Linked DNA regions of Danio rerio. The protein of the gene in region 1 interacts with the protein of each later gene in a pairwise test. Links are inferred from orthologs where the notes say so. Each region holds a gene or a part of one and is shown in the gene's direction. Other genes may lie near its edges.

Region 1 (3,481 bases):
TGCATTCTTTAAATAAAATCCAAGAATCCAATAGGTTTATATCAATTCATGACCATAACCATGTGTGTATTATTTTAAAATTCAATGCATTATTCCACAATAAATCAATCAGAAGTTCTTTTCAGCTCCATTAACAGGAGATTATGTAAACACAATGTAAATCATTTACAGAAACGCTGATAAAAAAAGCGGTCAGCGCTCTACTTTGCTCATAACCAGGTGCTTGTGTGTGTTTTGTAGGAACGAGTTTGAGCGCATCTGTAAGAGAGAGGTGAAGGTGCCTGGTTTGACGGTAATGAAAGATGTTTCGATCGCTAAATCAGAGTTTGTTGAGGGCGAGAAGGCTGTGACCAAACTTCAGGATTATCAAGAAGATCCAGAGCTTTTCCGCTACTGCGTTTTACCCCAGGTAGACCCAAGCTTAATGCATATATAACACTCTTTACAACAAGAGCACATTCATATATAATCATTTAAAATGTTTGTTTCTCAGATCCTGAAGTATGTGGAGTGTTTCACTGGACCCAACATCATGGCCATGCACACTATGCTCATCAACAAACCACCAGACACAGGTAAATATCAATGCTTCAGTTGCCCAAGTCGGATGTGTTTTTGAATTAACATCCTTGGGTAGACACGGTATAAGCCTGATAAGCAGGAGAATATTCTAGGGATTTTTTAAATAATATCTGAAATAAATGTACATTTTACGTAATAATTATAGTCTAGAATTGGAAGTTCGTAATAATTTAAAATAGCATTTAAAATAGCAATAGCAAATTAATTTAATAATATAAAAAAATAATCATAAATATAAATATATATATATATATATATATATATATATATATATATATATATAAATATATATATATTTATATTTATATTTATGATTATTTTTTTATATTATTACATTAATTTGCTATTGCTATTTTAAATTATTATTTAAAATAATATATGCTATTTTAAATAATATGAAAAAAATTATCATAAATAAATATACACACACACACACACACACACACACACACACACACACACACACACACACACACACACACACACACAGTTGAAATCAGAATTATTAGCCCCCTTTTGAATTATTTTTTCTTTTTTAAATATTTCCCAAATGATGTTTAACAGAGCAAGGACATTTTCACAGTATGTCTGATAATATTTTTTCTTCTGGAGAAAGTCTTATTTGTTTCATTTCGGCTAGAATAAAAGCAGTTTTTAATTTTTTTAAACACCATTTTAAGGTAAAAATTATTAGCCCCTTTAAGATTTTTTTTTCGATAGTTTACCGAACAAACCACTGTTATACGGTAACTTGCCTAATTACCCTAACCTGCCTAGTTGCCTAGTATATATTAACCTAGTTCAGCCTTTAAATGTCACTTTAAGGTGTATAGAAGTGTCTTGAAAAATATCCAGTCAAATATTATTTAATGTCATCATGACAAAGATAAAATAAATCAGTTATTAGAAATTAGTTATTAAAATTATTATGTTTATAAATACGTTAAAGAAATCTTCTCTCCGTTAAACAGAAATTTTGGAAAAAAATAAACAGGGACTAATAAATCAGGGGGGCTAATAATTCTAACTTCAACTGTATGTGAATATATATGTTATTTATATGTTTTTATATTTACACATACGTATGAAGCCATCAAATTCAAAGCAGTACTAACAATAGTAATTAACAGTACTAAAGTTGTAATAAATCACATAATACTCTACATCAAAAGTGTCTAAACCGTGGATTCATTTATTTTATTTATTTATTTTAATTGAGTTTATGTTATTTATCTGTATTTACTGGATTTATGATAGCAACATCTAATTACAGCCACTTCCGCTGTTAGGGAGGGGAGGGAAAAGGGGATGTTAAAAGGTACTGTTAAATTACTGAAGAAAATAAAAAATTGCATCATTAAAAAAAAAAGTGTCTAAACCACAGTAGTAATAATAGGAATATATTACATGATATAATATATATTATATTACCACTATTTAAAGAATTGTATCTACATATATCTTTTTATTTTAATAATTTAATAAAAAATAATATATGAAGAAATGAGATCTATACTTTTAAGTACAGTTGACGTGAAAATATTCGCACTCCAGTGAAATTTGTATGCAATGTATTTTGCAAATATTTCCCAAGTGATGTTTAACAGAACTAGGACATTTTTACAGTATTTCCTATAATATTCATTCTTCTGGAGAAAGTCTTGTTTTTTATTTAAGTTTGACTGAAATAAAAGATGCTGTTGTCCTTTAGTTTGCCTAATTATCCTAACCCTAACCTTGTTAAGTCTTTAATTTCCACCTTAAGCCAAATACTAGCATCTTGCAAAATAAATAGAAAAATATTATGCAATGTCAAATAGTTGTTATTGGAAATAAACAACTATTATGTTTAAAGGTGTGTTGAAATGATCTTCTCTCGATTAAGCAACAAATGGGAATCCTTTAGAATCAAAGAATTAAAATTTGACAGTAGGGCTAATTATTTTGACATTAACTGTATGCATTTATAAGTCCTAAATTTGACTAGTAGCGCCTATATTCCCACTTGTTTTTACCCTCTATAGGTAAGAAGACCTCCCGCCATCCTATGCACCAGGACCTGCACTACTTCCCCTTCAGACCCGCAGATCGTATAGTGTGTTCCTGGACGGCTATGGAGAAAGTGCACAGAGAAAACGGGTGTCTGGTCGTCCTGCCCGGCTCACACCGCGGCTCCCTGCAGGAACACGACTACCCAGAATGGGAGGTAAGAAGCAGACAAATGCTAAGAATTATTAGCTCTCCTAAATTTGATATTCCCTAATTTCTGTTTAATGAAGAGAAGATTTTTTCAACACATTTCTAAACATAATAGATTTAATAACTCATCTCTAAGAACTGATTTATTTTATATTTGCCATTATGACAGTAAATATTTGATTAGATATTTTTCAAGATACTAGTATTCAGCTTCAAGTGACATTTAAAGGGTTACCTAGGTTAATTAGACAAGTTTGGATTATTAGGCAAGTCATTGTATAACAGTTGTTTGTTTTGTAGAAAACTGAAAAAATATATGGCTTAAAGTGGTTAATAATTTTGACCTCAAAATGGTTTTAAAAAAAATAAAAACTTGCTTTTATTCTAGCCAAAATAAACCAAATAAGACTTTCTCCAGAGGAAAAAATAGTATAGGAAATACTGTGAAGAATTCCTTGCTCTGTTAAACATCATTTGGGAAATATTTGAAGAAGAAAAACTAATTTTTCCTATGTGTTTCCTTTCAGGGTGGAGTAAATAAGATGTACCACGGGGTGCGGAACTACGACCCAAACCATCCCAGAGTGCATTTAGAGATGGAGAAAGGAGATACTGTGTTTTTCCATCCTTTGCTGATCCACGGTTCAGGAATGAACCAAACCAATGGATTTCGAAAGGTTTTTAGTCTTTGTCTTATGTT
Region 2 (4,361 bases), on another chromosome or scaffold:
GTGTTTTTGAACCATACCATAGTAAAGTGCTTGTGGTAATTGTACAGTTAGTACAATAACACAACAACTTTAGTAATATAAACAAATGATCCAACAGTGTAGTTTTCTCCAATATCATACAACAATACATCACAGTTTACTGTAGTAAAAACAAAAGTGTTTATTACAATTTATCAGTTAACTATAGTTAATACTACACAGTGTAGTCTGTGCTGCAATAGTTATCTGCAAAAATAGTTGTCAATTCTACAGACTATTATATACAGCACAATACACTTTACTATAGTAGGCTATGGTTCAAAAACACTGTAGTATTTACCAATGGTATTTACTATAAATTACTGTAGTATTTTTTCTAATGTGGCAAGTCTTTACCGGAGAAATGCTGCCCTCTGGTGTCATTCAAATAAAGCTTCATTCATGTTCTTCATTTACTCACGTGTTTATTTTAAGACTTATAATCGCCAGATTGAAAACGTCTGATGCACTCATTTCTATTAATTACAAACAATTCAGAATTAAAGGAAAAACGCATAAACATGCACGTATATCTACAATAGATCAAAACTGCTTCTGCAAATCAGCGTCAAGGACGTCATCCACATGTGACCAACCACAGCATTGCGTTCGTCAGCTCACCAAAACACGGAAGTAAACACTTGTCATACACATGTTTTGCGCTAATATGGAAGTTAAGCAGGGCAATTGTTTCATTTGTACAGTACAATTATAGGTTTAATCGTTTTAAACGTTTTCCTAGGTGACAGTACGTATATTGGTGGTTTTCCACAAACAAAAAACGTTATTTATTGTAAATGGGTTGTTCGTGGACTTTAGACTATTTCTGCACTCGTTGAGTTATTAGAGAAACGGTATGAAGTCGTTTAAGTCTCCGGGACGTCATGGATATGCGGTGGAGATTTCACCTTTTTTGCCTTCTACGATGGCATGTGCTTCCTCTCAGTATTATGGAATAGCAGGTAACGTTAGTGGCATGTACACTACCTGACAAAAGTCGTGTCGCCTATCCAAGTTTTAGGAACAATAAATAACTTGACTTCTAGTTGATCATTTGGTATCAGTAGTGGCTTAAATGAAAATGGCTCTAGATTACGCTTATTTTACTAAGATAAACTATGATCATGCCTTGATTTTTTATTATTTATAAGGACAGTACGGTCTGACTTTGCTTGTCACTGAACAGAAATATTGTGGAATAAAAAGTCATGGTGCAGTGGAAAAAGATTTAATATTGTGTATGACTCCAATGAGCTTGGACGACTGCATCCATACATCTCTGCAATGACTCAAATAACTTATTAATAAAGTCATGTGGAATGGCAAAGAAAGCATTCTTGCAGGACTTTCAGAGTTCATTAAGACTCTTTGGATTAATCTTTAATGCCTCCTCCTTCATCTCACCCCTAGACATGCTCAATAAGGTTCATGTCTGGTGACTGGGCTGGCCAATCCTGGAGCACCTTGACCTTCTTTCCTTTCAGAAGCTTTGATGTGGAGGCTGAAGTATGAGAAGGAGCGCTATCCTGCTGAAGAATTTGCCCTCACCTGTGGTTTGTAATGTAATGGGTAGCACAATATCCTTGATATCTCAGGCTGTTGATGTGTTCATCCACTCTGCAGATCTCTCGCACACACCCATAGTGAATGTAACCCCAAACCATGATTTTTCCATCAACAAACTTTACAGATTTATGTAAGAATCTTCGGTCCATGCGGGTTCCAATAGGTCTTCTGCAGTATTAGTGATGATTGGGATGCAGTTCAGCAAATGATTTATCGGGAAAATCCTTCTGCCACTTTTCCAAATGATCAACTAGAAGTCAAGTTAATATTTGTTGCTCTTACAACTGGGATCGACGACAAGGCTTTTGTCAGGTAGTGTATGATGATTAATACAAAACTGTGATTTTGACATAAACCTGTTTCTTGGCTTTTAGGATGTGGGACACTTTTTGTGCTGGAGCAACGGGAGACAGATGTTTCACTTGTGAAGAGGTAATTTAATAATAAAAGATGAAAAAGCAATTATAAGTATGACAACAATATGTAATACAATTGTATACATAAAAAAAATTATGATTTTGATTTATTTTTATTTCTAAGCAAAAAACAATTACTAGAAAACATTCAGCATGTTTTAGCACTAATTCGGTGAACATTAGTTAATCTACTACAAGAAAAGTCTTGTGTAGCAAATTTAAACAACAAGTATTTGATGACCTATATTAATTAAAAGTTTATTTTTAATGATAATAGTGTTGTTACACTTTGCTTTTATCCAAACCTATTTCACCTATTTGTCCGCCGAAAATTAGAATTTGCTTGAAATATGACCAAATTCAGTATGGTTAATTATCCTTATAGATTTCTAAAAGGGTTAGTTCACCTTAAATAAAAAAATAGCTCATGATCGCGGCATCCTAAGTGCATATTTTAAAACTTTTCTGTTATAACAGCAAAGGAAAACCACCAGAATACATCAAAATGCTGTTGTAGTTGTAATTTCTATACGTTATAAAATTACAATTTCATTTAAGATTTATATAATTCCATGAACACTGTTTTGTATTCAGTTATGTGAACACACTTAAGACAGTCAGAGGAAATTACATAATTTATTGTAATTTTTAAAAAATTGATATTTTTATAACAAAACTGCATCAAATCGCTACAGAAGGGCTTCATTCACCCCCAGGAGCGTATGAGGCATGTTTTACTATAGATACATGTGCTGTTTTAAACTTGTACTGAAGAAATTTTCCAGTGTTTACTATCGAAGACAATTTTATATAATTAAATTAAACTCTGGATGGATTTATCAAAAGAAGTCATACACATCATGTGTCTCTTGTAGGTGAGTAAATGATGGGTTATATCACATTTTTGGTTGTACTAAACGTTTATTAAGTAAAAATCAAAAACAGGTTTCCCGGTGATGGGTTGTGGCTGGAAGGGCATCCGCTGACTAAAAAAACGTGCTGTATAAGTTGGCGGTTCATTTCGCTGTGGCGACCCCGGATTAACAGAATTAGTGTTTAACTTAATTTATGCACAAATATGTCACCCATATTTTGGTGCTTAATTTTCCTAATACTTAATTGAAAGAATTTAATACACTTTCTATGTATAAATAAAAGCATTTAGTTGACTGAGACAGACTTCAAAAAATTAAGATATGTAGTCTTTTAACCATCCACATAAAATGTCTCTAATAATAATCATAGCTGGAAAATAACCAATAATATATTTGCTCTAAAGGCAAATAAAGAAAATTGTAACATTGTGTCTATACAATATAAAAAATCAATCTGCAAATTTTCTGGAGTTAAACATTTTAGTTTGCACATACAGATTGGAAACATTTAAAATGACACATACAAGTCAGACCTTTAATACTTGTTCTGTGGTCTGTCCAATATAGTGGATGGGATTAATTGTCACAAAAATGTTACAGTCCAACTTTCTAGGCAAATCCTAATGTACAGTAGTCAAGGAGGAAAGGTCTAATCAGTAATGTGATGCATCATTAAGTAGAGCTTGAATCTCTTTTTTTTGCCTCATGGACAGTTTTGACTGGAACGATGGTCTTTTCGATGTGACATGGAGTGAGAACAATGAGCATGTGCTAGTGACCGGAGGAGGTGACGGATCTCTGCAGATCTGGGATACAGCCAATCCACAAGGTCTTCTGCAGGTGCTGAAAGGCCACACACAAGAGGTCAGTTCACAATCTCCACTTCTAAATGGGCATATTAGGGCTCTGTTTTCGCTGGTTTGTAATTGATCGCATTTAATTGTAATGCAGTAATGTGCACCTTTTATAAAGCTGCTTTGAAACAATAATTATTGTGAAAAGCGCTATACAAATAAACTTGAATTGAATTGAACTGGTGTGTTTTCGTATTAATTTTTTTTTTGCAATGGGTACATCTTGTGGTTTTGACCCAGATTTCAGGCTAGTGTACATTCTGGGGATATGTTGTTTATAATGAATGGCATAATAATTTTTTTTTATTATTAATTGTATTTTCGATTTTTGCCTTCTGAGTACTGGAAGATTTGAACTCAATTTATTACTAAACTTTTATATTATTATTATTATTATTATTATTATTATTATGCATTTCATATTATTATGTAATTTATATTTTGCATTTATATTATAAAAAATAAACATACAGTTTTGTACTGTAATTATTTAAGGGGTAGTTCACACAAAAATAAAAATTGCTCGCATTCAAGTATTTCTAAATGTTTCTTTATGAATCTTTTTCATCTGCTTACACAAAGCAGGATACTGTGAAGAATGTTGGGTCAAAGCAGCCAATATCATTTATATA

Evidence for each region.
Region 2: the proteins of phyh (region 1) and pex7 interact in a two-hybrid assay, tested with the Homo sapiens proteins (2 studies listed by BioGRID, with this or other methods). The link is inferred for Danio rerio from reciprocal best matches to the Homo sapiens genes PHYH and PEX7.

The regions. Positions count from the first base shown.
Region 1 is NC_133179.1:8,314,177-8,317,657, forward strand, and holds part of phyh (phytanoyl-CoA dioxygenase, peroxisomal), read left to right. Parts: intron 1-240; coding exon 241-409; intron 410-493; coding exon 494-575; intron 576-2,606; coding exon 2,607-2,788; intron 2,789-3,308; coding exon 3,309-3,458; intron 3,459-3,481. UniProt on the Homo sapiens protein: Catalyzes the 2-hydroxylation of not only racemic phytanoyl-CoA and the isomers of 3-methylhexadecanoyl-CoA, but also a variety of other mono-branched 3-methylacyl-CoA esters (with a chain length of at least seven carbon atoms) and straight-chain acyl-CoA esters (with a chain length longer than four carbon atoms).
Region 2 is NC_133195.1:42,862,068-42,866,428, reverse strand, and holds the start of pex7 (peroxisomal biogenesis factor 7), read left to right. Parts: upstream 1-1,433; 5' UTR 1,434-1,510; coding exon 1,511-1,571; intron 1,572-1,958; coding exon 1,959-2,016; intron 2,017-3,588; coding exon 3,589-3,739; intron 3,740-4,361. UniProt on the Homo sapiens protein: Receptor required for the peroxisomal import of proteins containing a C-terminal PTS2-type peroxisomal targeting signal. Specifically binds to cargo proteins containing a PTS2 peroxisomal targeting signal in the cytosol.